2 linked regions of the Drosophila melanogaster genome follow. The protein of the gene in region 1 interacts with the protein of each later gene in a pairwise test. Each region holds a gene or a part of one and is shown in the gene's direction. Other genes may lie near its edges. The genes, in order: Cwc25 and Non1.

The links.
Region 2: the proteins of Cwc25 (region 1) and Non1 interact in a two-hybrid assay, tested with the Drosophila melanogaster proteins (one large-scale study listed by BioGRID).

Annotation. Positions count from the first base shown.
Region 1 is NT_033779.5:2,743,371-2,757,026, forward strand, and holds Cwc25 (Cwc25), read left to right. Parts: upstream 1-1,727; 5' UTR 1,728-1,828; coding exon 1,829-1,846; intron 1,847-1,901; coding exon 1,902-2,124; intron 2,125-2,186; coding exon 2,187-3,511; 3' UTR 3,512-3,574; downstream 3,575-13,656. Other genes in the region: CG9961 (uncharacterized protein), read right to left, coding at 88-1,167, 1,234-1,342, 1,397-1,554; Pgk (phosphoglycerate kinase), read right to left, coding at 3,642-3,882, 3,941-4,885, 4,950-5,011; Bacc (bacchus), read left to right, coding at 10,045-10,290, 12,638-12,800, 12,875-12,924.
Region 2 is NT_033778.4:9,384,319-9,400,970, reverse strand, and holds Non1 (putative nucleolar protein 1), read left to right. Parts: upstream 1-2,236; 5' UTR 2,237-2,339; coding exon 2,340-2,387; intron 2,388-2,512; coding exon 2,513-2,787; intron 2,788-2,856; coding exon 2,857-4,492; 3' UTR 4,493-4,706; downstream 4,707-16,652. Other genes in the region: CG33774 (uncharacterized protein), read left to right, coding at 923-1,023, 1,103-1,124; l(2)k10201 (lethal (2) k10201), read right to left, coding at 1,217-1,882; ODA-Dnal1 (outer dynein arm dynein axonemal light chain 1), read left to right, coding at 4,891-5,042, 5,107-5,218, 5,273-5,575; l(2)03659 (lethal (2) 03659), read right to left, coding at 5,771-5,788, 5,853-6,782, 6,843-7,108, 7,167-7,627, 7,688-9,225, 9,286-9,494, 9,551-9,859, 9,920-10,005 and 3 more. UniProt on the Drosophila melanogaster protein: Involved in the biogenesis of the 60S ribosomal subunit. Required for normal assembly of the mitotic spindle. May be involved in both centrosome-dependent and centrosome-independent spindle assembly programs.

The DNA of each region.
Region 1 (13,656 bases):
TTTTGAGAGACTGATTGTTTAAATTGTCCAAATTGAATTTAAGATACATGTACATATAAGTGGAATAACCATTGTAAAGCAGTGCGTTTAGGCATCCGAAAGAGCAGCCACTCCAGGCAGAACCTTACCCTCCAGCAACTCCAGGGAAGCTCCTCCACCGGTGGACACATGCGAGACCTTGTCGGCGCCTCCGAACTTCAAGCAAGCGGTGGCCGTATCCCCACCACCAACGATTGTGGTGGCTCCTCGGTTAGTGGCCCCGATTACTGCCTCCAGCATGGACTCGGTGCCTTTGGAGAATAGCTCGTTTTCGAACAAGCCTGGCGGTCCGTTCCAGACGATGGTTTTGGATGCACAAATAGCGCCAGCAAACATCTGACTGGATGCCTGGCCGTGGTCCAGACCCATCATGTCCTCCGGTATGCCCTGTGTGGCATCCACATGTTCCACTTTATCCGGCTCCTTGTCGATCTTATTGGCTATGACAAAGTCAATCGGAAATAGTATATTCACGTCCTTCTCCTTCGCCTTGCAGACTATGTCGTTGACCAACTCGGATCCCTTCTCGTCGAAGAGGGACTTTCCAATCTCCATGCCATTGAGCACTTTGAGAAAGGTGAAGGCCATGCCACCGGATATGATCATGGCCGTTACATTGTTCAGGAGGTTCGTTATCAGTGGAATTTTATCGGCTATCTTGGCGCCACCCAGAATGGCCAAAAAGGGCTTGGCCGGATCGTGGAGAACCTTGGCAAAGTACTCCAGTTCCTTGTCCAGCAGGAAACCAGCCGCTCGCACCTTGTAGCCATCGCCCATCATGGAACTATGCGGACGATGTGCTGTTCCAAAGGCATCGTTCACATAGATCTCGCCCAGCTGCGCCAACTTGGCTCGGAATTCCTTCACCTTCGCGGGATCTGCTTTGACCTTCTTCTTGTTATCGTCCTTGCTGCTGCCCGTCTCCTCGGCATAGAAACGAAGATTCTCCAACAGGAACACAGTGCCGTCGGAGGGATCCTTCAAAGCTCTCAGGGTGCTATCACCCACGCAGTCGTCCAGGAATTGAACCGGCTGGCCCAGCACACTCTCCAGCTCCTTGGCCACGGGTTCCAGGCTAAACTTTTTGTTCTTTTTGCCATCCGGACGCCCCAAGTGGGATGCCAAAACCTAGGCAAAAAATTAAGTTATTCGTTCTATACTTTTTAGGAATTGAAGGAAGATATATCAACTCACCAAGGACTTACATTTCTTGTCCAAGGCATATTTAATACTGGGAAGTGCGGAAACAATTCGTTGGTTGTTGGTTATTTTGCCATCTTTCATGGGTACATTAAAGTCCACTCTAAAAATAAATTTATAAATCACACACTAAAACATATCTGGCAAGGATACTCACCTCATAAAAACCCTTTTCCCAGCCACATCTACATTTTTTAAGCTCAACTTCTTTACTTGCTTTCCATTGCAATCGTCTTTGCTAAAAAATCTTGGAAATCTTAATTTTGTAAATCGAGTTTGAGCTCTTTGGTATAAACTCTGCCGAATTGGAAGCATATTAAATAAATTTATTACCTGTTTTTGACTGAAAATACAATGCACGATGAGGAAGTAATTATGAAAATAAGTAACTAAATTAACTATTTTCAATAATTTTCGAAAAAGTAAAAGAAAAATGTAACCCTATGGCAACACCAAGTTAAATTACTTCACCACGATCTGGCAGCCCGGGCGAACATATGATTTTGTTGAAAACAACAGAAAAGGAGGGAAAATCTGGAATTGTTTGTAATTTGTTTGTTTTGCTGTTAAAACGCAAATCAAACCCAAGATGGGTGGCGGAGATCTAGTAAGTAATGTCTCCCAACTGATTATCCGTCAATTACCATTGATTTTTCCCGCAGAATCTGAAGAAATCATGGCATCCGCACACGATGAAAAACCAGGAGCGCGTTTGGAAGGCGGAGGAGCAAGCGAAGATGGAGGAGCGCAAGCTGCAGGATCTGCGCAAGGAGATCAACGAGGAGCGGGACAGAGAGGAACTAAGGCGATTGGGCGAAAGTTCCGGAGTGCTGAGCAATAATGGCGGAGCCGCCGGCGAGGCCAAGCTGGAGTGGATGTACAAAAGTGAGTCATACATGTGAAACTCTTATAAAACTCATTATCCATACATATTTATCTTGCTCCAGACAGCACAGAGCTGATCAACCGCGAGGAGTACCTCCTGGGCCGTAAGATCGACAAGTCCTTTGAGACGCTGCAAGCGGAGGAAAGCCGCCAGGAGCAGAACACAGTGGGTCTCAAGCAAACGATCAACCATGTGGAGCACGACTGTGTGCCCTTCTCCATCCGGACCTACCGCAATGTGCAGTCCAACGAACAGGTGGACATACAGCGCAAGACCCTCGAGGATCCCCTGATGCTCATCAAGCAGCGCGAAATGGAATCCCGTCGAAAGCTGCTTGAGAACCCCGTCAAGCTGAAGGAAATCCATCGCATTCTCAAGACTGAACAGGAACAAAAGGCCGCAGAGGGAAAGAAGAAGAACAAGAAGAACAAAAAGTCTAAGAAATCCAAAAAGAAGAAGAAGAACCGACGATCCAGCAATGAGGAAAGTAGTGACAGCGAGAGCAATGATAGCGACGATGACTTGGACAGAAAATTAGCCCGCCAAGTGAGCAAACTCAAGGGAGACCAAGGTGACCTTAAACTGGACAAGCTGCTGGACGCCAAGTACCGCACCATTTCAAATCAATTAGACATGGCCACCAAGAAGAAAAAGAGCAAGAAATCCAAGAAGAAGAAAAGCAGCGATAGCAGTGACGAAAGTAGTGACGAAGAGGAAGAGCCAAGGAGAAAGCACAAAAGGAGCCACAGCTCAGAGGACAGAAATCAGCGAGAAAGACGCAGGAGTAGAAGCCCCCGGGATAGAAAAAAGCGACAGAGTAGAAGTCCGGAACAAAGGCAAAGGCAAAGGAGTCCAGAAGAGAGAAGGGAAAGGCGCAGGAGCAGGAGCAGAAGTCCCTTAGCGAGAAGACAGAGAAGAACCAGGAGCCCAGAGGACAGAAAAGCCAGACGTCAAAGCAAGGACACTTCAAAGCAGCGCGAGAAACGCAGGAGTAGGACACCTGAAGAGCGTTCCAGATCAAAACGCAGCAGGAGCCGAAGTTCCAAAGGAGATGACAAGCGAAGGATTGCCGAAAGACCGCCTCCCAGCCGTCCCACCGGCAAGCCAAAGTTAAGCGAAGCCGACCGAGAAGCTCGCCTGCGCGAAATGATGGACAACGCCACTTGGAGAGAAGCGGATCGCAGCCAGGTGGTTCGCAAGCACCGAGAAGCATACGCGCGCGAGGAGGCCCAAAATCGTGAACGAGACTTCGACAAGGAGTTCATTAACAAGGAGGTGAAGAAGGCCATTGCCAACCATAACTCAATTGGCGATCGCATCCGGGCCAATCTCAACAACATACAGCGCACCGCCTCCTCAATGGACAGCAACTTTGCCCGCAAATAAACTAGGATTCCTTTATTTCGTATGCATTATATGGTTCCGCAACAAATAGATTCAACACTTTTTAACGTCGTGGTTTGTGCTTACAAGGTAAACGATGCGATTAACATTAATATACCGTATATATGTACGCTTAGGCGCTGGTCAATGCAGCCACGCCTGGCAGTGTCTTGCCCTCCAGGAGCTCCAGCGAAGCGCCGCCTCCGGTGGAGACGTGCGAGACGAGTGCCTCCGTGTTCCACTTGGCGCAGCAAGAGGCAGTGTCGCCGCCGCCGATGATGGAGACGGTGCCGTTCTTGGTGGCGGCCACCACGCCGTCCATGATGGACTTGGTGCCGTTGGCGAAGTTGGGGAACTCAAAGACACCGGGGGGTCTAAAATGGGAAAACCATTATAGGACATTTGGAGAAGTAGCTTCAGTGTGACACCTACCCGTTCCACACGATGAGCTTGGCGCGTGCGATGGGTGCCGCGAAGAGCTCACGGGTCTTGGGACCCACATCCAGACCCATGTGTCCATCGGGAATTCCGGCCTCCACGGTGGCCTCGCTGACGGCAGCGTTCTCGGCGAACTTGTCGCCGCAGACAAAGTCCACTGGCAGATGCAACTGCACGTTATTCTTCTTGGCCTTCTCCACCAGTTTCTCGACGATCTTGGAGCCCTCCTCGTCGAACAGGGAACCGCCGATCTTCATGTTGTTGAGGACCTTCAGGAAGGTGAAGGCCATGCCGCCACCGATGATCATCTCGTTGACCTTGTCCAGAAGGTTCTCAATCAGCTGGATCTTGTCGGCCACCTTGGCGCCACCGAGAATTGCCAGGAAGGGATTTGGTGGCTTGTCCAGGGCCTGCGAGAAGTACTTCAGCTCCTTGTTCAGCAACAGACCAGCTGCGCGCTGCTCGAAGCCATCGCCCATCATGGAACTGTGGGCGCGATGGGCAGTGCCGAAGGCGTCGTTGACATAGACATCGCCCAGCTTGGCCAGGCTGGCACGGAACTCCTTGACCTTGGCAGGATCGGCCTTGACCTTGCCGCCGCTGGCATCCAAGCCCTTGCCCTCCTCCTCCACGTAGAAGCGGACGTTCTCCAGCAGAATGACGGATCCCGGTGCGGGATCCTTGCAAGCGGCCTCCACTTCGCTGCCGACGCAGTCACTTAGGAAGATCACATCCTGGCCAAGCAGGGTCTTCAGCTCAGCGGCCACGGGTGCCAGGGTGTACTTGATGTTCTTGTTGCCATCGGGACGACCCAAGTGGGACATCAGCACCACCGACTTGGCTTTCTTGGAAAGGGCCAACTTGATACTATCCAAGGCAGCGACAATTCTCTGGTTGCTGGTGATCTTGCCCTCCTTGATGGGCACATTGAAGTCGACGCTGCAAAGAAGCACGGGCAATGTTTATGCAACTGAATTTCACGCGAGGATTGGCTTTGGATTACCGCATCAACACCCGCTTGCCCGCCAAGTCCAGGTTTTCGATGCTCAGCTTATTGAAGGCCATCTTTGGATTTTTCTGGATTTTCTGGATACTTCCTGTGCGTGCTAGCAAACTCCGGATTGCGATACCACTGATTCCGCGAATCTTCTTCGTCCTCAACTGCTGTGCGGCAATGTCAGCGCAAGGTCATTTTGTCGGTGAGCTGCTAGGGTTGCATCTCCACTTCCAGGGCGTCAATCCGTGGCAAGCGGTTTTCCGCCGATTGGTAGGTGCCATGCGCAGGATCCAGCTGGGTATACTCCTATTTTGGAGTCCGAAGTTGGTATCGGATTGTATTCTCGTTCGAAAGTTGGATAAAAGTTGTACTCTCCAAATGCAACTCTGTATTTGGCGCCCAAGCAGTGTTGGTAAGTGCTGTCAGCACAGTGCTGTGAAGCATCCGTTCCAAGGGTGTCGAAAAGGGGCCACACAATTCTAAAATTTAAAAATCTATTATTTAAAATATCATTATTTTCATAATATTTAAATATTGTCCATAGATAATCATATGCTAAAAATTAACAAAATAAATGTCTGCATATTCTGACTAGATCATTTAATTGATCATTTGCTATTTACAGTATACAATTTTTTTTATATTAACTTAAATAGAAACCGTTCATATAATATTTTCACTTAAATACATATAAAAATTATTTTTTTTAATAAATTTTTTATAATAAATTTTAACCCCTTAGAACTTTTTTCTTCCACACCCTTGAATGTCTGTTAAATTTTAACTGAAAGTCCGAATTAGTGATTTTTTATAAAAATTTATAATTAATTTATAAAAATAATAAAAAAAAAATTTAATAAATAATAATAATCTACGACGTACATACATATGTCCATACCGTATGTAACAGCCGCCCCTTTGATGTTTGTATGTCAATATGTAATTATTGAATAAATGATTTCTGTTGAGGCCAACAAAGTCAAATCACACAATCTTTCTCGGTGGCCGTTGTTTTATTTTGACTGTGCAAACGGATTCCGCTTATGATGCCATGATGATGGCTCCGCCTCTTCCCCCAATGATTCATTCATTGTTGCCCACTCTGTATCTCTACTCATCTCCGGCGGTCCAAGCAACCACCGGCGGCACTCGGCACTGGCACCACCAAACGCTAACCCACCGCATCACCACCCACCACCCAGCACACGGAACACCACCACCCACCACAAGTGCTCAGTGCAGCGAAATGCATGACGCAGATGGCAAAGTAAGGTATATGGGAACGAACGAGGTTGGGTTGGTTGCTGGCCATTCGGGGGTTTTCTAGCCAAAGTGGCGGGTTTTCAAAGAACTAATCTGCCCAAAGGACCAATTGTAATGTGAGCACATCACTAAAATAATCGATAGATTGCCATATCTGATGGGGTTTTGGGTGGCTGCCTGGGAGACTGGGGTGCGTATAAGCCTATTTGGGGCACTTCAGATGCAGCATTGCAGTGGTAGCGGCTGTCCTCCTTCATCCTTCAGCCAGCCGTCGGAAGAATGTCCACTCACACGTCACGGCTGTGGTGCTCTGCGCAATTAAGGCACCGCCGAGGACCCGGGTACCCACTGGTGATGACACCACGGCGCTGCTGCTGGGTCAGGTGGTATTGGAAATCGAAGACAATGGGGCTGCTTAAATTCATTTTAATAATTGCGTGTAAACCGCCCGTTGACGCAGGTGAAACGCAGGCGAGCAGGTGAGCCGGGCCAGTACATATACCTGGTCGAGTCGCGTCCATGTGGCCCGGCACTCGTGTGGAAACATTAGCACATGCCGGGAAAACGAGACCCGACTCCGAAAGTGTCCAATGCGACGGCGACGGCGATGACGTGCTAGCGCTAGAGATCAAGAATCCAGAGAGTCAAGCAGCCAAACAACAGCCAAGCGACCAAGCGAATCGCCCATCTAGCAACAGTCTAACAATCACTCTAATCGAGTCGTAAACCTGTTCATGTTGTTCCACCCAGCCATCTTGTTGGGTACCTAAGCGCTAGAAGGGACAGCCTATGGTGGCTATTCGTATGCGCTACAATTGGTTTTGTATCTGAACGGTGAGCTGCGCTACTCTTCATACATTGTTTACCATGCTATCGATGATATCATATCGAAATAAAGCTGTCAAAAGAACTGAAACTTCCGTTTTTGAAAAGCCTAACAACCCGATTAGAAGAAATCTATTAAGCACCGCATTAAGCTGAAAGAGCGAAAAACTTAATCGCCGTGAATACAAGCTGATGTGTGTGTTTTAGATACACATGCTAGCTGAAGCGTCTGGCTATCGATTGTGTTTGCATTGAGATTTGTTCGCACCTTTATGCTACAGCAAATTAATGACGCAACAACGTGTAAGTGCACTGGGAGAAATTCCTGAGGCAGGTCAGTAACGACAACGGTCGGGGAAAAATCCCTTGCGTTAGTTTCGTGTTCGAAAGGGCCATAAAATTTCCGAATCGACAGATGTTTGGGTTCCGGGAAGCAGGACCATCCATCCATTTCTGCCTGCTTGAGATCCTACCTACCCGGTGGTTGCCTGCATTTGAAACCGTTGTCTAACCTTGAAGTAACTACGGTCGTACCAACCAAGCCGATAACTCGAGAAATTGGCACAGGTTGTCCTCAGGAATCTAGATACCATTGTTCAACACCGAGAGGTGGTCTCACAAGCCCGATGAGCACGACTATTCGTATCGCGAGAGACCCACCAATCTTGGGCCGACGAGCGTCAAGCCACTCGAACGGATACTGAGAGTTCGGCGGACGGAAAGTGAGACAGTGACAGCCAGAGAAGAACGGTAGGCGGCCCATGGAAGCACAGCGAAATGGAGACGCAAATCGGCTTATCAGGCAGCGATGTTCAGGCAAAAAGTCATCGCTGCTCCTCAAATATGTGATAACTGAGTGGACGACGGGCCACGATTACAGGTGTTTACGTTCACCATGCCGCCTCGGTTGGGATGCCGCGGAACATGTTCGCCGGTTTTAATTAGCGATCCGCCTGTCGACAGTCGTCCGCTCGCTCTGTCGTCGACCGTATTATTCAGATTACCAGATATATAGCCTAGGTATTCGTATTTGCCATTGCTTTCGCACGAAAATAGCTGAAAGCGTGAGAGGCTGTCCAATCGAAACTCGACTGTTGGATACCCGGCAAACGATAGTTATTACCCTTTCGTCGATAGGCTACTGGAAATAGCACCAAGAACCTTATGTCTTCCGGTCGAATTCCTCTAGTATTACTTTATGGGTTGTTATTCCGCTCGTTAATGTGCACATTTTGAATGAACTTGAAGATCAACCTCGCAGTGATTGTCCCACTGATAACACAGATTTATAGAGAAGAGCCAGTACAACTCGAGCACGTTGACTACCAGGTGATATGGGCGATATGTTATAGCCTACTCGGCAGTTCCAGTTTCCCATATATTGGGCGATTCCTGAACCCACTGGGTTCGTGCGGCGAACGAAGCCATCACCATCAAATGGTCGAACCACAAGTGCGGGATCAACAGAAAGATTGGCACATGAAAAAAGAGTCAAGGGTGGACCCAATTCGACGAGTGATAGGCATTGGCATTTAAGTCGAAGTCTTTGGTGGGGCCATTAGGACTTAAGGATGTTTAATATTTCTGGAAATTGCCGATTTCGAAAACTAACCCTTAAATGTTTTCGAATCTTATGGGGTTGCAAATTGCTGTTTTCTTGCTATTTCTCCAGTTCTCTAATTCTAGTTTTAAGACGCATAATCCCGGAATAGAGCATTTCCCCGATTGCGTGCATCTAAATAGTTAGAATCTCAAAAATAGCTGCCCGCTTTCCTGGTCCGCGAAAATCACCTGCTTCCCCACACGTTACCAATCAATTGACCCCAATCCGCGACGACATTGCGTCCCACGCTGGTCCACTCTATAAATACGAATACCGTGCTGAATACAACACACAGCACACACATCTGCATCTGCGGCAACAATGCTGCAACACTTCTTCCCATCGGCAACATCCACATCCACTGTTCTGCTCTGTTCTGTTCTGTTCCACCGACGAACGGTCAGAACGCCACAGAGTGACTGCACCACACACACCACACACCACCATCGCCGCTACCAACCCCCAGACCCCGCCCCCAGGCCCACAAGCGCACCACTGGCGCGCGCAATTTTCAAATTTACCGCCAAACGCGCCCACAACCGTACTCACGGAACCCAAGCAGATTTTGTATGGAATTAATCAGGAAACCCACTCAACTTGTCATTTGCGGATCTAGTTTTGATCGCAGCGCCTCGGGAAAAAGCCCAAAATTAAGCGGATACTACCAGCTATAGCCTCGATCAGTCTCTGAACCGATCCGAACAAAGGTATTCAAGTTATAGGCAAAAATGTCTGCAACCGATTTGGCGCAAGAAGAAGCAAGCGGCAATTTCTAGCCATCGAACGGACGGCAAGCTCAGTCTTGTACGAACCGTCGACGGGAGCACATATCGGTGGTTAGCAAACCAAAGGAAAACGGATATTCCATACATCAGTGGGGCCTACGAGTAAATCCTTTTGCCTGCCGTAGCGCCGCCTGATATATGGCACCTCCTAAAGCCTTACTATATAGATACTATATTATCAGAAAATCACCGCAAAATAATATACCAAAAATCCAACGATCGCTCTGCTCTGGGCTGTTGTTGTTGTCTTATCGACTGCGGCTGTACAAATGCCGCGGCGATTTTTTGAGTGTATTGTATGGGCCAATGGCGTGGGAGAGAGAGAGCGAGTGAGCGTCGTAACGATTTCGGGGAGAGCGAAAAAGAGAGCAGCGAGAGCGTTTAAAGAAAGTTACTCTCTCCTCGAGAGGCAGTGCTTAAATAGACGGCCCGCAGCTGAATCGCATTCAGTGTGTTTGTGTGCTTCGTTCGGTGCGGTTCTCTCTGTCTCTCTCTCGCCTTCCCCGAGTATTTTGCGCTGGTTTTTTGTCAACAACAAGACAATCCACAAAACCAACCCGAATTGTTCTCTATATAACGCAGAAACTAAATAGTTCCGGAAAACCTCAAAGAAACCAATTCAAATATGTCGGCTGCTACGGAACAACAGAACAACGGCGATGTGGCCGTGGAGAAGGTGGCGGCAGATGATGTGTCTGCTGTCAAGGACGATCTCAAGGCGAAGGCGGCCGCCGAGGATAAGGCCGCTGCTGCCGATGCCGCCGGCGACGCGGCCGACAACGGTACGTCAAAGGACGGCGAGGATGCCGCCGATGCCGCCGCCGCTGCCCCCGCAAAGGAATCCGTGAAAGGCACCAAGAGGCCAGCAGAAGTGAGTACTGATCTATGTGACTAGGTAGTTGTTTACGCGGTAAAACCAAAAGGAGGCCCCTCTAATGATTCACTCCAAGCCAATATGCCAGTAGCATAGCATTGTTCGAGGAAAAATTCTAGAAATAGATATACACACGTTTTTCGGAACAGCGCACTCTCCCAATGGCTTACATATGCCCCCAAAAGAGAGAGCGTATAGCTGGCTCGGTTGTGCGTTTGTGTTGTTTACGATTAACCAAGATGATTGCGGGTCCGGCAATCAAAGATTATTGTTGTTAGGTTCAAATCGAGGTTAGGAGGGCCGCCGTGCTTATATAGGCGGGGAGTACAGTTAGCCAGGGCCTTTTCTTTGGTGGGGTGGGTAATGTGTTTTTAATAAACCCATAGGTCATTAGCATTGACGTGTCCGCTGAACAGCGTTACCCAGCAATAGATACATTGTGGCATTACGTCTATAACTCATACGCTTGGCCTTATTTATCAGTCGCTGTGGCTACGGGAATTGCAAATGCAAACGCAAACGCAATTCAGCGCGATGCCAATGCACTCTCTCAATGAAAACACACATTGCCGGCCGGTAAATTACTCATGTCATGTTTGGCCACTTTATTTTTGGTTAGTATCGCCAAGAGCACGCGGTATTCGAACAAGTTTTGGGGGCCTGAAGCAGTCGCATTCCATAATCGAGTAGCACATTTCTTGATAAAAATAAAATAGTTCGGCCAGTAAGGCAGATAAATTGGCAAATCAAGCGCTTTTCTCAGACTCAAACTCGAAATAAAAATGTACAGTTTAACGGGAGCGTTCTCTCGCTCTCTCTCTCTCTCCCCGGAGAAAGATAGATACAAATAGAGAGCGCTGCTAACTCTCTCCCTCGTAATTTGTATACACACCGTTTTGTCTGTTTGCGTATGTGCTTACATTTATCTTTCACTTTTTTTTCTGCTCTGCCTTATGCGTATTTATTTTAGTACATAAAACAAGACGGCTAAACAGGGTGTCGCAAAAGTTAGTTGGGTTTCTTCGGGATTCAATTGAATAATGATCATTATCCCATGATCATGAATTAGTTGAGATACGTTTGGCACGGATAATTCTTAGTGGTACAGTAACGAATTGTATAGATTTCAAGAATAGTTTTGAAAATTATTCGTTGGTTTCCATATCTTTCGATTCCAAACAACAGATTAGCTTTTGTCCCTATAAATGTATCTTCACGCTTAGAAAACACAAACTAAAACCTCTAACTAAATCAAGATACATTGATTACCCAGTTATAACACCAGTAATAGTAGGCTTAGTTCTTGCCAATACAGATACACCCTGTTCGTCTTAATCCTCTATTGGCCTTTTCTCGAGTTCTGGGTCTCGTGACTTATGCTGTAAGCGAAGTGAAAAAGGGGGGCGATGGGTGGCCATTAATTTTGCACATTTTTCCACAGTCCGATTGTTTTTCGCTTCTTCCGCTTTGTAACAGTCTGGTAAATAGGGCCCTTGTGTTGCGGCTTCTCTTCGACTTGGGAACGTGACCGCCTATATACTGCCATAAACCATATACCATTATGTGTATCTTGTTGTTGGTTGGTCAGCGGCAAAAGTTAAACCCACGCATGTTGTTGTTTTGCGCCTTTTTCGCTGCCGACGTCGCTGCAGCAGCTGTCGTTCGGATGGCTGTGAGTGAGAGCGAGAGATTCATTCATGCAGTTCAGGTACAGTTTACAGTGCTGCGGATTCAGATGCTCTCTCTCTGGCGCTCTCGCCCGCTCTCTATCTTACAGGGCACGCTTCGTTTCGTATCTCACGGATGCGGATACATATGTCGCTGCCGGCGTCGCTGCTTATTGTTTTTTTTTCCTTCCCCCTTATGTAGTAAATATGTCGCCTTGTACATACGGAGCACAGATGTAATGTAGCGCGGTTGCACTTGTAATCCACTCTCTCACGTACTCTCTCTCCCGCTGTCTCTTTTTGCCGCAGCGAATTACATTGGCGCGCGCATTTTTCAAATGTTTTTTTACGGCGAAAATAACGATTTTCGTCGCTGCTTGTTTTGTGTGCTGAAAATATACATTTTATGACTATGTACACACGCACAGGAAGTTGAGAGGGGTATTGGATGCCCTTGATCAAGGAGATGTGTGGGTTTGAGTTGGGCGCGTAGGACCATTTCGCTCCGTAATTCTCCCTAATATCCTTTAGTTTGTTTCTCAGATTAATATCAAAAATGCATAATTAATAGTGACGGGCCCCTTATTTCTGTTCAATAAACTTGCTTGTAATACAGTAAATCATCAGCGGAACAAAAACCAAAGGAACTCTACTAACTTCTCTTTTTTCGCTTCCAGGCCAAATCCGCAGAATCAAAGAAGGCCAAGAAGGCCGCGGCCGCCGATGGAGATTCCGATGAGGAAGAGGCTCTGGAGGAAATCATCGAGGGCGACAGTGAAATCGAGAGCGACGAGTACGACATCCCCTACGATGGTGAGGAGGATGACATTGAATGTGATGGTGAGTTCACGGAAGCACTTCCCTTTTCCACATCAATCTAATCCCCGGATTTTCCCTTTCCCTTACCCGCGCAGATGATGATGATGATAATGATGACGGTTCCGGCTCGGACGATCAGGCGTAATAATAATGTAGTCAAAAATACAAACAAAAACAAACAAAAATTTAAATTAATAATAAATAAAAGTTACAAGCAAAAACAAAACAAAAAAAATATAATAATAAACCAACAAGCAGAAAATAAACCACAACAAGGAGAAAATGAGGAGGAGGAGGAGAAAAAAACCACAAAAAAATCGCAAAAGTATATAATTTTTATGTTTAAGAAATAATTTTTTATTTCTTACCTTATTTTAATTGTATTTTATGTGTACTTTTTTTATAAAAAACTACAAAACAAACAAAAATTGTAATTGAAGGCATTTTCGTATAAACGCAACCTATACGGAATCCAACAAAAAGTAAACATCCCCACTATATACAAGAACAAAACAAAACCAAAATCTTTCTTTCCTTTATCTCATAAGTCCTAATTTAAACGCCCAGTTGATGCGTAAACCAAGATATACAAAGATTTCAAATGTAGCGTAAACGAAGCCCGCGAATTAAACACAGATACACTACACTCACACACACACACGATATTCAAATTCATTATTAAATTAGACGTTACATTTGTGAATGAATGATCGATCGAAAGAAGCAAAAATACAAAAGTGAACATTTGAAAATGAACATGATTATGAACATGAAAAAGAAACAGCAAATGCAATTAAATACAAAACAAATAAAACATAAAAATTGTATTTAAATAAATCGCAAAAATCATTGAAACCCCATACTCGACAAGCATTCA
Region 2 (16,652 bases), on another chromosome or scaffold:
TTCTTACGGCTTTCTTCATGGGGACAGTGAAGCCTAGCTTTGCGAGCCTTCCCAATTAATTTATTCCTGTACTGGCATTTTAAGAGCTGAGCGTGAATGTATGTGTTAGCTGCAAGTGCACTCGAGTGCCTTCTTTAATATTTAAACTAGAGCAATTGAGAGATCTGTGTATGACGATAGCTATACTAAATATTTTTAACTGACGCAACAATTTCCACAAAACAAGTGACCTTTAAAACAGAGCTGCGCAAAAAATATATGAAAGCAATAAGTATTATGTAAACTAGTTTTAAGCTTTGGATACGGAAAGATAATTAAAATATTTCTAAGATGGCCGTTAAATATGTTAATTTATAATTTTTGGCGAGAATTTACAATTGTTCGCTGAATATTTTTATGAAAATAAAATAGAATTAAGAATATGGTTTTGTTATTTGTAGTAAAAAGGTGATAACGAGTTTTGGATTTCAAATGTTATGGAGTTATTGAAATAAAAATAAAATATGGTGGAAACCTTTTACTTTTTATAAATGACGTTCATTTTGAAATTGAAAAAAAAGAAAAGAAAACGATTTTTTTTTTAAATATCCGGTTTGGTATATCTGGTATTATTTATGGTTCGCGAGGTATATCGGTATATTTTAGTGGTCGATCTACGGTCACGCTGAAATATTTGTACACAATAAAAACCGGCTCGTTTTTTCGCTGAAAAAGGTAATAAACTAAAGTTAATGAACGCAAACGAAACAATCGGTGAAGTTAATCGACAAATGAGATGCATAATCCCGCGTTGCATTTTGGTGGATACAGAAATAGGCCAGAAATCGCGATTTCCACACCGCACCCATGACGTGTCACTCGCCCACTTCGTTTCTAATCAATTAGTTTGTTTTTATCCATAGAACGTGTTACTGTCTGCAAAATGATCACCGACGTGCAATTGGCCATTTTCTCCAACGTTCTGGGCGTATTTCTGTTCCTGCTGGTGGTTGCCTATCATTATATTAATGCCAATACCGGAAAGTAAGTAATCCCACTTGGTGAAGAAGAGGAAGAAGACAGCCCGGAATCAACAATAAAACCGATTTTCATTTATTTACAGGCCCAGTGCCAAGGCAAAATGATGTAGGATGTTTCCGCTAACAGACTAATATAGTTCTACCAGGATAATGATAATGCTGCTTCATTCGCAAAATAAATATGTAGTTGTACAAATCTAATCCAGGATGTCGTTAATGGCCTCCTTCATGGCCTGGACATCGTCCAGTGTTTTGCCAGATCTCTGATCTTTGCCTGTGTAGAAACTCCTCTGCGTTTGATGTCCAAAGCTGAAGGCCTTGACGTAGGGCAAACTTTTAGTTTCCTCTATCACCTCGTCCACCTCCATGGAATTGGGTTTGCTTTTGCCTTGATGCTTCTGTTTGCCCCTATTCTTGCTATGATCAAAGCGATAGTTTGCCGGAAGCTTGTGCGTTATGATGCAGTGATCCTTGCGCTGCCGGGCAGTATGAAACTTGATGGTGCACTCTTCCAGAAAGCAGGAAAACATGGGCTTGTCACCGCGCTCCACGCTGGCGGCAAAATAGCAATCGTGCTGTTCGGTGATGTGCAGATCCAGTAGATGGGCAGTGGGCAGCATTTTTCGGCATTCTACGCAGCTGTAGCTCTGCTCCTTATCTATGTTGTCCCTGATCCTAGCTGCCGCCGCATCCTGCTCGCCCAAGATGTCATCGATGTCCACGAGAACGCCGAGTTTCTTGAAGGGCGCCAAACTGGGTGCAGGCGGATCCGTGGGCTTTATGAATCCCGCTGGCACTTCGCTTAGTATCCTGATGATTTGCTCTCTGGAGAGAAGTGCTACTCCCGCAGCTTCCGAATCCATTTTGTTTGTGTTGCCAAAATGTTTTGTTTTGGTTCCTACGCCAGTTTCAACATGTTTCCACTGTACTGCCTCTTGGAAGATGTGATTTTGTTTAATTTATATAAAAATTAAAAATAATTTCCTTTTGAATTGAAATAGTAATACAATTTTTGAAGTGCATACGTAAAATAGACATAATTAATGAATTGAAATACTCGCTCATATTTTAGATGGATATATTTCTATATTAAACAACTGCAATTAAGTTGAAACATCTTAAATGCCTTTGAAATGATGCCACATCGCCAGACTTAGTTACGCGGGCTGGCATCGCCGTGCAGCACATGTGAACCTAAACTGGTTCCGCCCGAGAACCGGTTCTTTTTGGAATACGAAGCTGACACCGCGTGGTGTTTTTGCTTTCGATTCCGCATTTATTTTCCTTTCGACGCGTGGAAAATAAACAAATCCTGCCAAGATGAGTCTGTACAACTTCAAAAAGATCATGGTGGTTCCGCCAGCAAAGGTAAGGTGTACCCAGCAGCGCCCGTCCCGCGGAGCACCCCTTGAAGCAAAGACATAACCTCACTGGAGGTGTTTACCAATATGCGCAATATGTAAATAATATTTTATTTTTTGCCCTTTCCACAGGACTTCATCGACATTATGCTGTCGAAGACACAGCGCAAGACCCCGACGGTGGTCCACAAGGGCTACAAAATATCCAGAATCCGGGCATTCTACACGCGCAAGGTGAAGTACACGCAGCAGAACTTCCACGATCGCTTGTCGCAGATCATTCAGGACTTTCCCAAACTGGACGACGTGCATCCTTTCTACGCCGACTTGATGAACGTGCTGTACGACAAGGATCATTACAAGCTGGCGCTGGGTCAACTCAACACAGCCAGGCATTTGGTGGACAAGTGAGTGCCAAAGTCACAGATCCCCAAACGAACAAGGTTCGATTAACTATTCTATTTTTTATCCCGCAGTGTGGCCAAGGACTACGTGCGCCTGCTGAAGTACGGTGACTCGCTGTATCGCTGCAAACAGTTGAAGAAAGCTGCCCTGGGTCGCATGGCCACCATTATGAAGCGACAGGCCTCCAATCTGACGTATCTGGAGCAAGTGCGTCAGCATCTCTCGCGTCTGCCCACCATCGATCCCTATTCGCGTACCATCATCATCTGCGGTTTCCCCAACGTGGGCAAGTCCTCGTTCATCAACAAGATCACCCGCGCCGATGTGGAAGTGCAGCCCTACGCCTTCACCACGAAATCCCTGTACGTGGGACACACAGACTACAAATATCTGCGCTGGCAGGTCATTGACACACCCGGCATCCTGGATCATCCCCTGGAAGAGCGCAATGTGATCGAAATGCAAGCCATTACTGCCTTGGCTCATTTGCGCGCCTGCGTCCTGTACTTCATGGATATCTCCGAGCAGTGCGGACACTCCTTGGAGGAACAGGTCAAGCTGTTCGAGAGCATCAAGCCTTTGTTTACAAACAAACCCCTCATCCTGGCCATCAACAAGATCGATATTCTAACACCAGAGGATCTGCCAGAGGAGCGACGAGCGATTATCACCAAACTACAGGAGGACAAGAACATTCCCGTAATGCTCATGTCCACCGTACAGGAAACCGGTGTCATGGAGGTGAAAACCGAGGCATGTGAGCGTTTGCTCTCGTACCGTGTTGACCAGAAGATGCGCACAAAGAAGGTGGACAACATCCTGAACCGCTTGCATGTGGCGATGCCAGCGCCGCGAGATGACAAACTTCGTGCACCCTGCATCCCAGAAAAGGCCTCGGCGCGCCTGCTACAGAATGCCGACAAGGCAGAGCGCAAGCGCAAGCTGGAGAAGGAGATCGAGGAGGAGATGGGCGACGACTACACGCTGGACCTCAAGAAGAACTACAGCGAAATCCCCGAGGAGGAGCGCTACGACATTATTCCAGAGTTCTGGCAGGGTCACAACATTGCCGACTACATCGATGCCGACATCTTCGACAAGCTGGAGGAGCTGGAGCGCGAGGAGGGACTGCGGGAGGAGAGCGGCGTCTACAAGGTGCCCGATATGACCATGGACGAGACGCTCAAGGAGATCCGCGAGATAGCCAAGCAAATCCGTGGCAAGCGCTTCGAGCTGCGCGACGAAAAGCGACTGTCGTCGCGAAAGAACAAGCCAGTCATCCCACGAAACAAGCAGCCCAAGGTGCGTGACCGTTCCGTACAGAAACTGGTGTCGACGATGGAGGGCCTCGGTGTGGACATGTCCGGCAGCGAGAACGCCAACTTCACCAAGTCCGTGGTGGATCTGCGTCGTGGCCAGGTGGCAGTTGGCTCCAAGAAGGTGCCCATGCAGCCGCTGCTCGACAAGGAGTCCTCTGCGGTGGTCAGGAAGACTGGTCAGCCTCTGAAGCGGGCGCCGTCGCGCGACACACTGGGCATCAAGAACTTGGCCATTCGCAAGAAGGCGCAAATTATGGCCAAGCGGGATATTGCCAAGAAGGTCACAAGCAGGGGTCTCAAGGGCGAGGCGGATCGCTTCATCGGCACCAAGATGCCGAAGCATTTGTTCTCCGGCAAGCGTGGAAATGGCAAGACGGATCGCCGTTAAGCGCCGCAGCCTTGGCTGGTTAAGTGATTCTACCTGGTGGGCTCGCCTGCTCCTCTGTATAAACTAAGCGTCTATCTTTATCCCTGAAAAACATTTTCAATACAATATTGTATTTTTACAAACAAATTGTTTATTTTTCGGGGACCACACATCACACACTCAGTAAACTTTGGTGGAATTTTTGTATCATAAAAAGCAAAGAGCCTTGACTTCTGGAAAAGTTTATATAAAGAGAGAGACCTGAAAAGCATGTGCATTACTATTGTCTTTAGCACAAACAAAGTTTACCCCCATGGATATTTGCTCGTTTCTTACTTCACCTTGGCAACGTGGAAGTTTGTTTGGTTTTTACCAATTTTCTTGTCCAATGAGTAAAAGTTGTTCGGCACAGCAACATCATGTCCAAAGCCACCACAATTAAGGAGGCTCTGAAGCGCTGGGAGGAGCGGGAGCAGCAAAATTCCCTGACTGCCAAGGTTATTGATCTGCAATTCCAGTGGCCACCCATCGAGAAAATGGACAGCACATTGGGTACGCTGGTGCAGTGCGAGTGAGCTTAAAAGTTCTTAGTTCTTCGAGGAAAATGAACTCCTACTTTTCTGTTTCCCCTGCAGGAGAATCAGTATGTCCACGAATATGATTGAGAAGATATTCGGCTTATCGGGCATGAAGTGCCTCAAGGTATTGTCCTTATCACGGAACTACATTAAGCAGATATCCGGGCTGGTAAGGACGAATTAGATAGGTTCCATTAGCACATCATTTGCTTCTCTTATGTAGGAAGCGGTGGCTGAAACTCTGGAGGAGCTGTGGCTCAGCTACAACCTAATCGAGAAAATTAAGGGTTTGACTGGTCTGAAATGCCTGAAGGTGCTCTATATAAGCAACAATTTGATCAAGGACTGGTCGGAATTCAATCGCCTGGCCGAGATCGAATCTCTCGAAGATCTAGTGGTGGTAGGAAATCCCCTATCCGAGGGATTGGACGAGCCCACTTGGCGGGCGGAGTGCATCAAGAGGCTGCCCACCATCCGCAAACTGGACGGAGAACCAGTCGTGCTCAACGAGGAGCCGCAGCTTTAAGTCTGATGGCCATTCGGTTTATATGGATGACGGAGAGATTGGGTTTTCCATGCGAACTTTCATAGCAGAAAACAAAAAAAAAAATCTTGAAAAATACACAACATGTACTATTTTAGAAATCAGTTTCGTCTTTAGATTTTTATTTAAAATATTAGTTTATCTAACTGGTCAGTTGGACTAGTAAGTATTGCGGCCTTAGGAGGATTCAAATGTCTGCAATGAATTGTAAATTATTCATTAAAGGATTCATTTTTAGAGAATACTAATTAAATCTAACCTCTTGGGCGATTTTCAGCAGTCCCTCGTAGCTGGCTCGACCCGACTGATTGACCAAGTTGTGGAATACCTTGGAATCCGATTTGGTCATCAGTTCATAGGGCGATCCAAACTCCACAACACGTCCAGCATCCATAACCATCACCTTGTCGGAATCGATGATGGTGTGCAATCGATGGGCTATTGTCAAAACAGTGCAATCCCTGAACTTGCTGCGAATGGTGGCTTGGATGAGGCCATCCGTTTGAGGATCCACATTGGCCGTTGCCTCGTCCATAACAAGGATGCGATTCTCTCGCAGAATGGCTCTGGCCAGGCAGACCAACTGGCGCTGACCCACACTGAAATTGGTTCCGCCCTCGCTGATTTTGCTGGCCAGGCCATCGGGCAGATCGGACACCACCTCCTTCAGTTTCACCTCCTCCAGACAGCCCCACAGCTTCTCATCGCTGTACTCGTCGAAGGGATCCAAATTGTATCGCATGGTACCGGAGAATAGCACAGGCTCTTGGGGTATAATCGAGATCTGTCGGCGCAGATCGTGCAGACCCATCTGTCGTGTGTCCCTCGTGTCTATAAGCACGGATCCATCGGTGTAGGATAGCCGGAAGAGGGCGTTAATGAGCGAGGATTTACCCGCTCCAGTTCGGCCGACTATGCCCACTTTTTCCCTGGGCTGTATGACGAAGCTGAGCGACTTGAGCACATTCTCTGCCTTGGCATTCGGTGTGTAGCGAAGGTTTAGTTCCTTAAAGATGATCTCACCCTGTTCTGGCCACGTCTTGGGTGGCTTCTTGTCGTCCGGAGCTTCCAACATTCCTTCCGGCTCAATGCTCTCGTACTCTACCACTCGTTCCACGGCTGTCATGGTGTTCTCCAGCTCGGCGGTTTGACGTACTCCCCACTGAACCATATCGATCAGTCCCATGGCCTGTGGGTAACCAAAAGGTGATTGGCAGGTGATAGTGACTGCTTTAGTGTAATGGCTTACCTGTGTTATGACCAGACCAACATCAGCTCCGTTGCCCGGAGGAAAGGCAAAGAAACTAAGCGTTATGATCGATATATAAATCACGCATATGCAGTTCATACAATAACCAAATGCCTGCGATGTACTTATGTACATGAAAAATGCAGAGCTGTGCGCATCCTGGTAGCTGTCGAACTCCTTCTCCAGAACGCGCTGGGCATCCAAGGCTCGGATGGTGGTTAGGCCATTCAGTGAAGCAGCCAAATGCGAGTAAACTGGTGATCGATCTGTACAAATACTAAGTTTCTATCGATACTGAATGCATTCAATGTAAGGAATTCGTACTTATAGCTTCTACGCGCTTCAAGTCCCTCGAGGTTTTCAGATATAAGTTGCGCAGATGATAGAAAATTACGGACAGCATGAGTGTTGGAACCAACAGCAGCGGGTTGACATTGGCTATAACGATGATTATTCCGGCTAGCCAAAGCGCAATCTGCATCACATCCACCAGAACCACGGGAAGGACCTCGTCTACTTGGCTCATGTCCTTGGTAAAACGATTTAGAATGCTTCCATGCTTATTAATGCTAAAGAAATGCATGTCAGCTCGAGTAACTCTATTGAAGATGGTGTTGTGCAGTCGAATAGATGCTTTTTTGGCGATATTGAATAACAGAAATGACGACGACAAATTCATGATAACTGACAATATTATGATCAGTGTGTATTTGTATACATCCATGCTTTTCGATTCCATATCCTCCATTTCGCCATGGCCAGCAGCAGTGCTCTCCTTCTTGACCCTTGAAAATATAAGGAGTTTATACCAATTAGGCTTAATCAGACCTGTTATACCAACTTACCAGTAAGTAAGGAAGTAGTCACCACCAGTTACAGCCACCTGGGCCAACACAGAGCTGCTCAGCATGACAAGGAAAGCCACCAATCCACCTCCCGCCTGGAAATACTTCCTGTACAGAGCCAAACTAATGCCACCTGATTCCTGGCGCTCCACGTGCTCCTTTCCCGAGCTGGAACCTCCGACGGTCTGCTCGGAGTTTTCCTTGATGGGAGTTACTTCGTTTTTATTGTCGGGAGAATTAAGGTTCAATGGTTCTTGCTCCTCTGTCTTTGCTTTATCTGTCTTTGATAGACTTCCCAGACCAGTGATAAGGCCCGTTTTGAGTAGCGACTCATAGTCGCCCAGTGCTTTGATCTGTCCATTCGCCAAGATCACAATCTGATCGACGTGCGGAAGGAACTGCTCTTGGTGGGTAACCAGAACTACGGTGCTTCCGCGTAGATGACCCCGCACGCACTGATCGAAGAGATGACGTGCTACGCTGGCGTCTACTGCGCTCAGTGGATCATCCAGGAGGTAGATGGACGCCTTCCGGTATACACTTCTCGCCAAACTGATCCTGGCCTTCTGCCCACCCGACAGGGTTGCTCCGCGCTCTCCAACTATAGTATTATCCCTTAAGGGAAGCAGATCGAAATCCCGCTCCAGGGCGCACTTCTTTACAACCTCTTCGTACCGCTGGCTATCCATCGGTTGGCCAAATAGAATATTCTGGCGGACAGTGCCGGAGAAGAGCCACGACTCCTGGGAGGTGTAAGACAAGGAGCCATTTACTTGCAACTGGCCGGAATTCGCTTTCAGCTCGCCGAGAATAGCCTGGATGAGACTAGATTTTCCAGATCCAGTCAGTCCGATTACAGCCACCACACTGCCGGGTTTAATCTCTAGGTTAATCCCACTTAGTGTGTAGTCTGGTGAATTGGGATCCCATTTGGCCTTCAAGTCTCTAATGGAGATAGCTGATTTCAGAAGATCGGCCTCGTTATTGTTGGAGGGTGGATTACCGGGTACCGTATCCTTGGAAGGACCCTCACTTTTGTCCGAACTACCCAGCTCTTCGGACTGCATAAACTGCTCCACGCGTCTGATGGAGGTCAGGAATTGAGCCGTCTGGATAATGGCGGATGGTACGTATATGGACATGGCGGCCAGCAGTACGTTGTAGTAGGCTGTTATCATAAAGGCGATTTCCGGCGTGAAAACCTTTCCCAAGATGACGTAGCCAACCAAGCTAAGGAAGATGGCCACTCGTGAGAGGACGATTCTGCGGGCGAAGTCGAATCCCCTTATGTACTGTCCTTGGCGAATGGTGTTCATCTCCTTCTCGCGAGCGTGAGTGACCATCTGCTCAAACGGCTGCTCCCAGGCGTACATTTTCAGCACCTGAATGGCGGAGATTATTTCATTGACCATCCGAATCCGGTTGTCCGTCCGTTCGGCAGCCTTCAGTTGGATCGCAGAGGTCCTCGTACCCAGATACATTTGTATTGGCATAAAGAGCAGCATGAACAGCACTCCAAACACAGCGGAGATTCCAATCTGCAGGGGAAATGTTATGGATGTTATCAGTTTACACGGTGAACGGGGGGATCTGCTTACCTCCTGATACATCAGGTATGTGATGACCAAAACTTGAAGTGGGCCCACCCACAGATAGTGAACGGTGTAGGGTGCGCTGTCCAGGCGGGGGATGTCGTTGGAAATCAGATTGACCACATGGCCGGATGTAGTGTCGCCCAGTGCCCCCTTGGTCAGACGCAGCGCCTTCCGGAAGATCATGCTGCCCATGGCCACCCGCATCTTAAAGCCTTCAAGAAGTTCTCAGTTCTTCAAAAGTATCAATTTACATAGATTGAAAACTCACACACATGATGGATGCCGAACGTGGTTGGAGTTAAGATCATCACAGTTAGGGCACTGATAACGATCTGAGCTACTGCATAGTAAAATCCAGCATTGGCAGCGTCTGGTTCCCCAGAAAAGTACGATATGAGCTTCACCAAGAAGATCGGCTGCAAAGTGCGTAGTCCCAGTTCCACAACGAAAATCGCCAGACCAGGGAATCCCAGTTGCCAGCCAAAAACCCGCAGCAGAGCTCTGACGAGGCTTGGGCTTCGTCCGTCATTTTTTAATTCTCGCTCCCAAGAGGCACACAACCTGTTGCCAAGTATATCTACAATACAACGATTGCATTAGTCAACATAAATGTTTTAATAATATTTAAATTTCTTACCCGACTTTTGCTCCTCCAAGGGTCTATAGAGGTCCGTTGAGTCCAATGTTTTTCTGTAACCCTTACGAAATATAGGTATGGTATACCTGTATTTGTTGAATAATCGTGAAAAGGTGTAAAAAATATATGAATGTATAAATGACATACCAAAAGCATAATGACGATATAAAATTCGATCGAGCTCGGGGATTTTCCGGAAGGACTTTCTCTGCCGTAACGAAAAATAATATATTAAGGAATAATTCTATATGGATAAATTAGAAGATATAATATCAGTTTTGGTTCTGGTTGAAAGTTCTGCCATTCAGAAAATTAACTTTCAGCTGAACCAAAACTTGTATTTTTACCCTTTTCATTCTGAGCAGAATTATTTTCTGAGTTGACAGTCAGTTTTTGTTTGCAGTTTTCGGTCTGGTGTCCAAGCTCGAAGCATTTTCGGCATACAAGGGGCGGAGAAGTGTTAACTGATAGAGATTCATCTTTGTTACGGTGATCGAATCCATTGTTCTCCAGAAGTGAAGATTCTTCAATTGATGTATTCTCTCTTTCTGAAACTGAATCGAATGTTGGTTCCAAAACAGGTTGCTTGTCCATATTTGGTTGGTCAATGTATTTATATTTCTTTTAAAACTGTTCACGTGCTTTTTTGTTTACAAAACTTTGGTCCCGCGTTTTTGCTCATGGCACGTTTTTACTGGTCGAGTTATGAGCAGATACGGGCTTTGAATGGCGAAACAGTTGTTACATAATCTCAATTTCACAATGAAGAAATACTCAGCAAGCTGAAGTTTATATACGCTTTCAGTTATGTCTATGATTAGTGGTAATTATAAAAACGATAAAATAAAAGATTAGATTAACTTCGGGAATGGTGCTGCAAGGGACACGAATTTCTACCTAACACCTTGGAAATTGAAGACACTATTTTTTGTCAAACAATCTTTTTATGTGGACTATCTTGAACTTGAACTGGAATTCAAAAGCCGGAGAGAGAGAGATTGAGAGCGCGAAAGTGAGAGGGAGAGTGCGAAGAGAGAGAATGATCGAGAGAGAAATTCTCACGCATTGTTCTTGTAATTGTTCTTGTTTTAAAACCTTTAAGCTCTCAACTTTTGGCGCGTGTAGCGAACGCAATTTTCGGCGCTTTCAAATACTTATCAACATAGAGCAGACAATGTTCATATGTTTATGTTTTTGTTTTTATGGTTGCTTATCATTAGTTTGTACGGCGTCTCTTCCGCATAATTTACAGCGCACATTCTTTTTGTTTGGCCATCCTAATACGCGTTCATTCAATTCAGAATGAAGTCCCTGCAATTTAGCTCAGTGTACGTTGATGGATTTGTTAATATTTAACAGCGAAGTTGGTCGAGGGCTGCGTCAAATGGCAGTTTCTGAGTTCTGGCCACTGCAGTGTAATTGACCTATTGGCCAACTTTTGGGCCAGCGGCTGTTAGCGCTCTGTTAACCGGGCTCCCAAGGCTTTCGGGACCCACTTGCTGCCGCATTGCTGTTGCTGATGCCAATCCTCCTGCTGGTGTTCAAATGAAATGTTAAGTTCCCCGCCCACTCACTTTCGATTTCAGTCGCAGTTCGAGGCTCAAAGCGTTCGCAGCTGTTGCGGTGTGATTGCTGAATCGGCCACGGATCGGATATTAATAACGTGCTAGTCGGGCATCGAATTAAATGAAGCTTAGGCTCATCTCAAGTTTCGGTGCCTCGAAGATGTAATATGAGAAATTAAATGGCGCGTGCTCTCCAAATGAAACGCAAATACAAGTGTGTTTGGCTGATGTAAATTCTGATGTATTCCCTGGATACTTTGGGCCCGCCATTAGCTTGTATATATCTACATACATATTTACATGTTTTTACGCACACAGCACAACGAAAAACAACAACAGCTTTTTGGAGGCTGCGCGAATCGGCCATTTTTGGTGGGCTTCCATTTTTCTCGGCAACATGTGTTCCCTCTTTGTGTGTATTTAATGTACAATTTTTCTATGGTCTGTATAGCCTTTAAAATAAACGTAAAGCACTACGAGTGCAGAGCAGGCTGAAGAAGAGTGTCGGTCTATTATAATGCCCGGAACGCTTGGCATAAAGTAAGAGTTTTCCGCTTGGGCAGCGGAAGCAGAACCATAAAATGTGCTCTCAACAAACCAAAAACACACCGAACACACCGCAAAAAAGGGGAATAACAAAATAAACACGAAGTGAAATTTATTTAACTTAAATAAGTTAACAAACAGCATATTGTGCTACTTCTAATCGCGTTCTAAGTAAGAATATCTCTATTTAGTTGTTTAATTCACCACGCTATTACTAAAAGTTCCTTGAATAATTACCGAAAAGTTGAAATTTTAATTGGCCTTTGTTGATTGAGGACCATTCGCAATCTAAATAAATGTGGGAAATGTCTGAAAAAAATTACACATCCGCCATGTATGGTTTTTCTCAATGTGTACTCAGAAAAACTACAGACTACTTAGGAGCGTGGCTCGTAAACGGAGTGCGACCAACCACCCACTTACACTTACACTTACACCCACCACCATTCCCACCCACACACATGCGTAGAGCAGCAACAAAGTTGCGATAGAAAACAGATGCTTCAAATATGCAACAGCGTATAAATAACAGACTAAGGCAAGCCAGATTGGCCGAGTGCGATGCAGGTGTCTCTGTTATTAGCACTGACCTATAGTGTTAGCTTAGCAGAGCCTGTTAGGCGGGCAGCGGCGTCGACGGAGGCAGCGACGCTGGCAGAGGGCAGAACTGATGCCAAGGGTAATTCAGTGTTGGGCGAGATTTCCATCAGTGGACACGTCGTCGTCGGTTAACGGAGGTTTTTCCGAGCCATACCACAAAAGAAGAAAAATAAGCAACGGGAAAAAAGACATCGTGTTGGAGTGAGTGTGTGCTGGTGATGGTTGGCTCATAAAAGATTCAACAGCCTGCCGAGCTAACAAAAAAATAAAAAAAAACGTGTGTTAAGCAAAAAAAATTAAATAAATAATTACACGTAAATAGCCAAAGAAAGGCAGCACAATTTAGTGCAAAAAGTGTAAAACAAAACAAGAGTATGGTGAAGAGGCCAGAGCATCGATAAAAAAGAAAGCGGAGCAGCCTACAATTGAATAAAAACAATCAAATTTCGGATGAAACGAAAATTAACAACATAAAATTCGACAAGGGCAGTAAAAAGGAGACTCTCCACGTCCCTTTCTCGCCCGCTTTCCCCACTTGGAGTAGTCCCCGAATGTAACGGTAATAAGCAAGCGTGTTTCGGGCAGCATCCTTGTGTGCGTCTGGAGTTCTGTGGCTCCGTCTGCTTCCTCTCTCCCTTCTCCACTTTCTCCGTTCTTGCTCCTCTTCCACTTCTCTTCCCTCTGACCGACTCATCTTTTTCGTTTGTTTGCTGCGAGACATTTATTTGCTCTTTAACGTTTCAGCAGGACCAGGCCTGTTTCGTTCCGCCATTCTTTCTGTCGTTCTCGTCCTCCGCTCGTTCCGTTCCCTCCATTCCAGTCTTCACTGCGCCTCTTCCGTCCCCTCGCCACATCCCTCTATCCACGCGCTGCGTCCTCTCGCTCTTTTCGGTTCTGGCATGCCGCAAAACAGTTAGTCCAACACTCGAGTCTCCGCGTCCGTGTGTCTGCGTGCCTGTGTTGGTGCTTGTATGTAGAGCGAATGCGAAAAAAAAAATACAGGACAACTTCATATATCTGCAACTCCCAACTTGGATGTGTGTATAACTTTAAGTACTCTTAAGCTGGTACATGTTACCAAACAGTGGGCGGTTAGCTTATAATAATTATAAGTAATTTAATATATAAATCTGCTAGGTACTATTTGTATATATACTTTTTAATTTTATAATATCAGTAAGTGTTTTACTGCAATTGGCAGAGCTTTCCTCCATTCTAAGTCCCTCCATTAACAAAATACGCAGAAAGTCAACCTTTCAAAAGTTCAACTTAAAAAGTTCAAATTAGGGTTGCCGCACTGTAACACAAATTCGCCCACACAGATACGGAGTGTACATGTACATTCAACAATTTGCTGGCTCCCTTTGCCTGGTGATTTTATTTTTTTCGTCCTTTACGCCCACCACTTGCCATGATGCTGGGATGCTGGATCCTGGCAGGCTGGGAGCCAACGTCAACAAGTTGAAGCTGTTGCCGCTGCCCAGATAGCCTCGTTAGTACGAGTGGCTGTGTGTGCGTGCGAGTGTGTGAGTGAGGGGCGCCCCAAAGTATGCCGCAGATAAGGATAAATCATAAGCTGGCCAGGCCTGCTAAGTTCATTTTGGTGTCGCAAAGTGACGAGAATCGATGCCAATGTCATTTGCTAATTGAAAAATTCCTCAGCTGGCGCAGCAAACCTTCCACACAATTAGCCATTTATCTGGGCCCGAGAGGAACGGAGCTTAATTAAAATGAATGCACAATTAATTGTCAGACAACAGGCCCGAACTATAAACAAAGCCATGTGTGCGTACATTTATGTACGAGCCATATGTAAACAGAGTTTTGTAAGCAGCACAAACAGCAGGAATTCCATGTCTTTGAAGTGAAATTTGATTAAGGTGTTTATACAATACATCGAAATACCAAATCAGCGGAGAGTGGGAAAGGAAAACGGGGCCACGAAATACTTATATTTACCCATCGATTCGCATTCGACCGAAATGCCGGGATTTTGGCCTCGATTTTGTCCCCTGGCTGCCCAAAACTGAAGTTTGTGCGTGGGAAGAAGTTCAGCTTAAGAGGAATTAGAGGGATACAAATAAATAAAGGAATCCGGGTAATGGTAAATTTACTTTTCCCTTTGTTGAGGGTATTTCACGAGTTTTTAACTTGCTCATTGGGCCCACTGGAAGCACTTCATCGCAGCTGACCAACCCTTCCAAACTCTGTCGCAATATATCTATCTATCTAGCTATCTGAAGCTGACACATCATTAAAACTTTTAGCATCAGATGCCAAAGCGTAGATTACCCGAAATGAACACTGAGTGTAGAGCAGAATTTAACAAATCTTTGGGGTATTGGCTTTTTCCAACTGTACTGGTTTTTTGGCATCAGCATTGGAACATCAATCTCTGCGATTTAGCTAGAAAGTGATTGGAAGCCAACATGTCGTATGGGCAATATCACAAAAACGTTGAAACTCTTGGCAATGGATGCCTAAGCTTTTGGCTCGTTCATTATAAGCTGTTTTCTCTTCTTTTTGTTGGCCATTTTTTCGGTTGCTCCTGCAGAACTTTCCTTCTGAATTTTTTCCTTTCCACTGAATATAAGTGTGTGTGTGTGTGCGTGGATGGGTGTGTGATATGTATGCATGTGACATGTCTGACGTCTCATTTTCTGCCGCATAAACCCGAAGCTGGATTTTGGCTTAATTTGGCATTAGGGCGTTTCAATGGAAACTCATTTGAAACTTTCTTTCGCAAATCTGTGCATAGGCTTCCTGTGCACCCATCAAAAAGCCTTAATATTTATATGCGCATATTCGTGGCATTGTGAGTGTGTTTCTGCGCCTGACCGAGCACTGCCTCAATATTATTTTTTTCCGCCCGGTTCTGGATGAGAATACAGCAGATGTTTGCCCAGGCTGCGGCGGAATGTGCGAGTACATAAAAATGTACATATATGAGGTATGTAGTTGGCAGCACGCTGTTGTGTTGGCGGGATAAATTATACATATGTACATATAGCTCAGTATATGACCAAAACTTCGCATCTCTTGGCTGGAACAATGGCGTTTGGAGTCCTAAATCATCGAAATATTCGCGCCGTATGTCGCGTCGCCATTTATCAAGTATTTTCAAACCTTAAGCATGCTAACCTCGCACATATCCCAGCTGACCGATTTTTGAACAATAAATCGGCATTGACATTTCGATCCGTATTTTACATACGCACTTGTCGTGCCTAATTGATGAGCTCGGCGTATACCTTATGCAGAATAAACTGGCCATAAATCATGAGCATATCAAATCATAGCATATTCAATGCAAATTGCGGCAGGCTGTGAATCACATGACCTCTATTGATCTACCCCCCGCCCCCTTACATATAAAATTCACAACAAAAAAAAAAACAGAAAACTAGGCTAAAATGAGCAGCAAATTGTGCAGCATTGAATTAGCCAGCCATTCTGTGGCTTGAATGCGGTTTGCGGGTTGGCCTTGCCAACCAGCTGGCTGCCTCTTGTCTTCGGCAACTATTTTCCGTAATTCCATTTGCTCCGAGCAGGTTGGCAGACAAAATGCAATTAGCATTAACAAGGATGGCAGCTTCAGCTGCGAAACCCTTGAAGCCAACCCTTGCAGCCGGACAAAAAAGGCAAAAAACCATTTGGGCCACAATTTAAGCAAACATTTAATCAAACAGAATGCTCAAACTAACACGACTTAAGTTTCACTTTAAAGTGCGCTTGATATTTGAACCACTCGGATGGGGAAATTCCAATTAAACTAAATCAACATCAGCATTTACATTTTATAAAGTCAAATACAAGCGGAATGCAAAGAGGTAAATTCAGACTATATAAAATAACTTTGGCATTGGATAAAACTATTGGCTTAAATAACAGTGCAAAACTTGAAAAACAAACGATTACAGTGATTATTGTAATTAGGCAGTACATAATTGTTTTTGATATATTTGCTTAATAATATACTGAAAGTTACAGCTTAAATAGTTTCTCTTTTTGAAGTAAAGTTT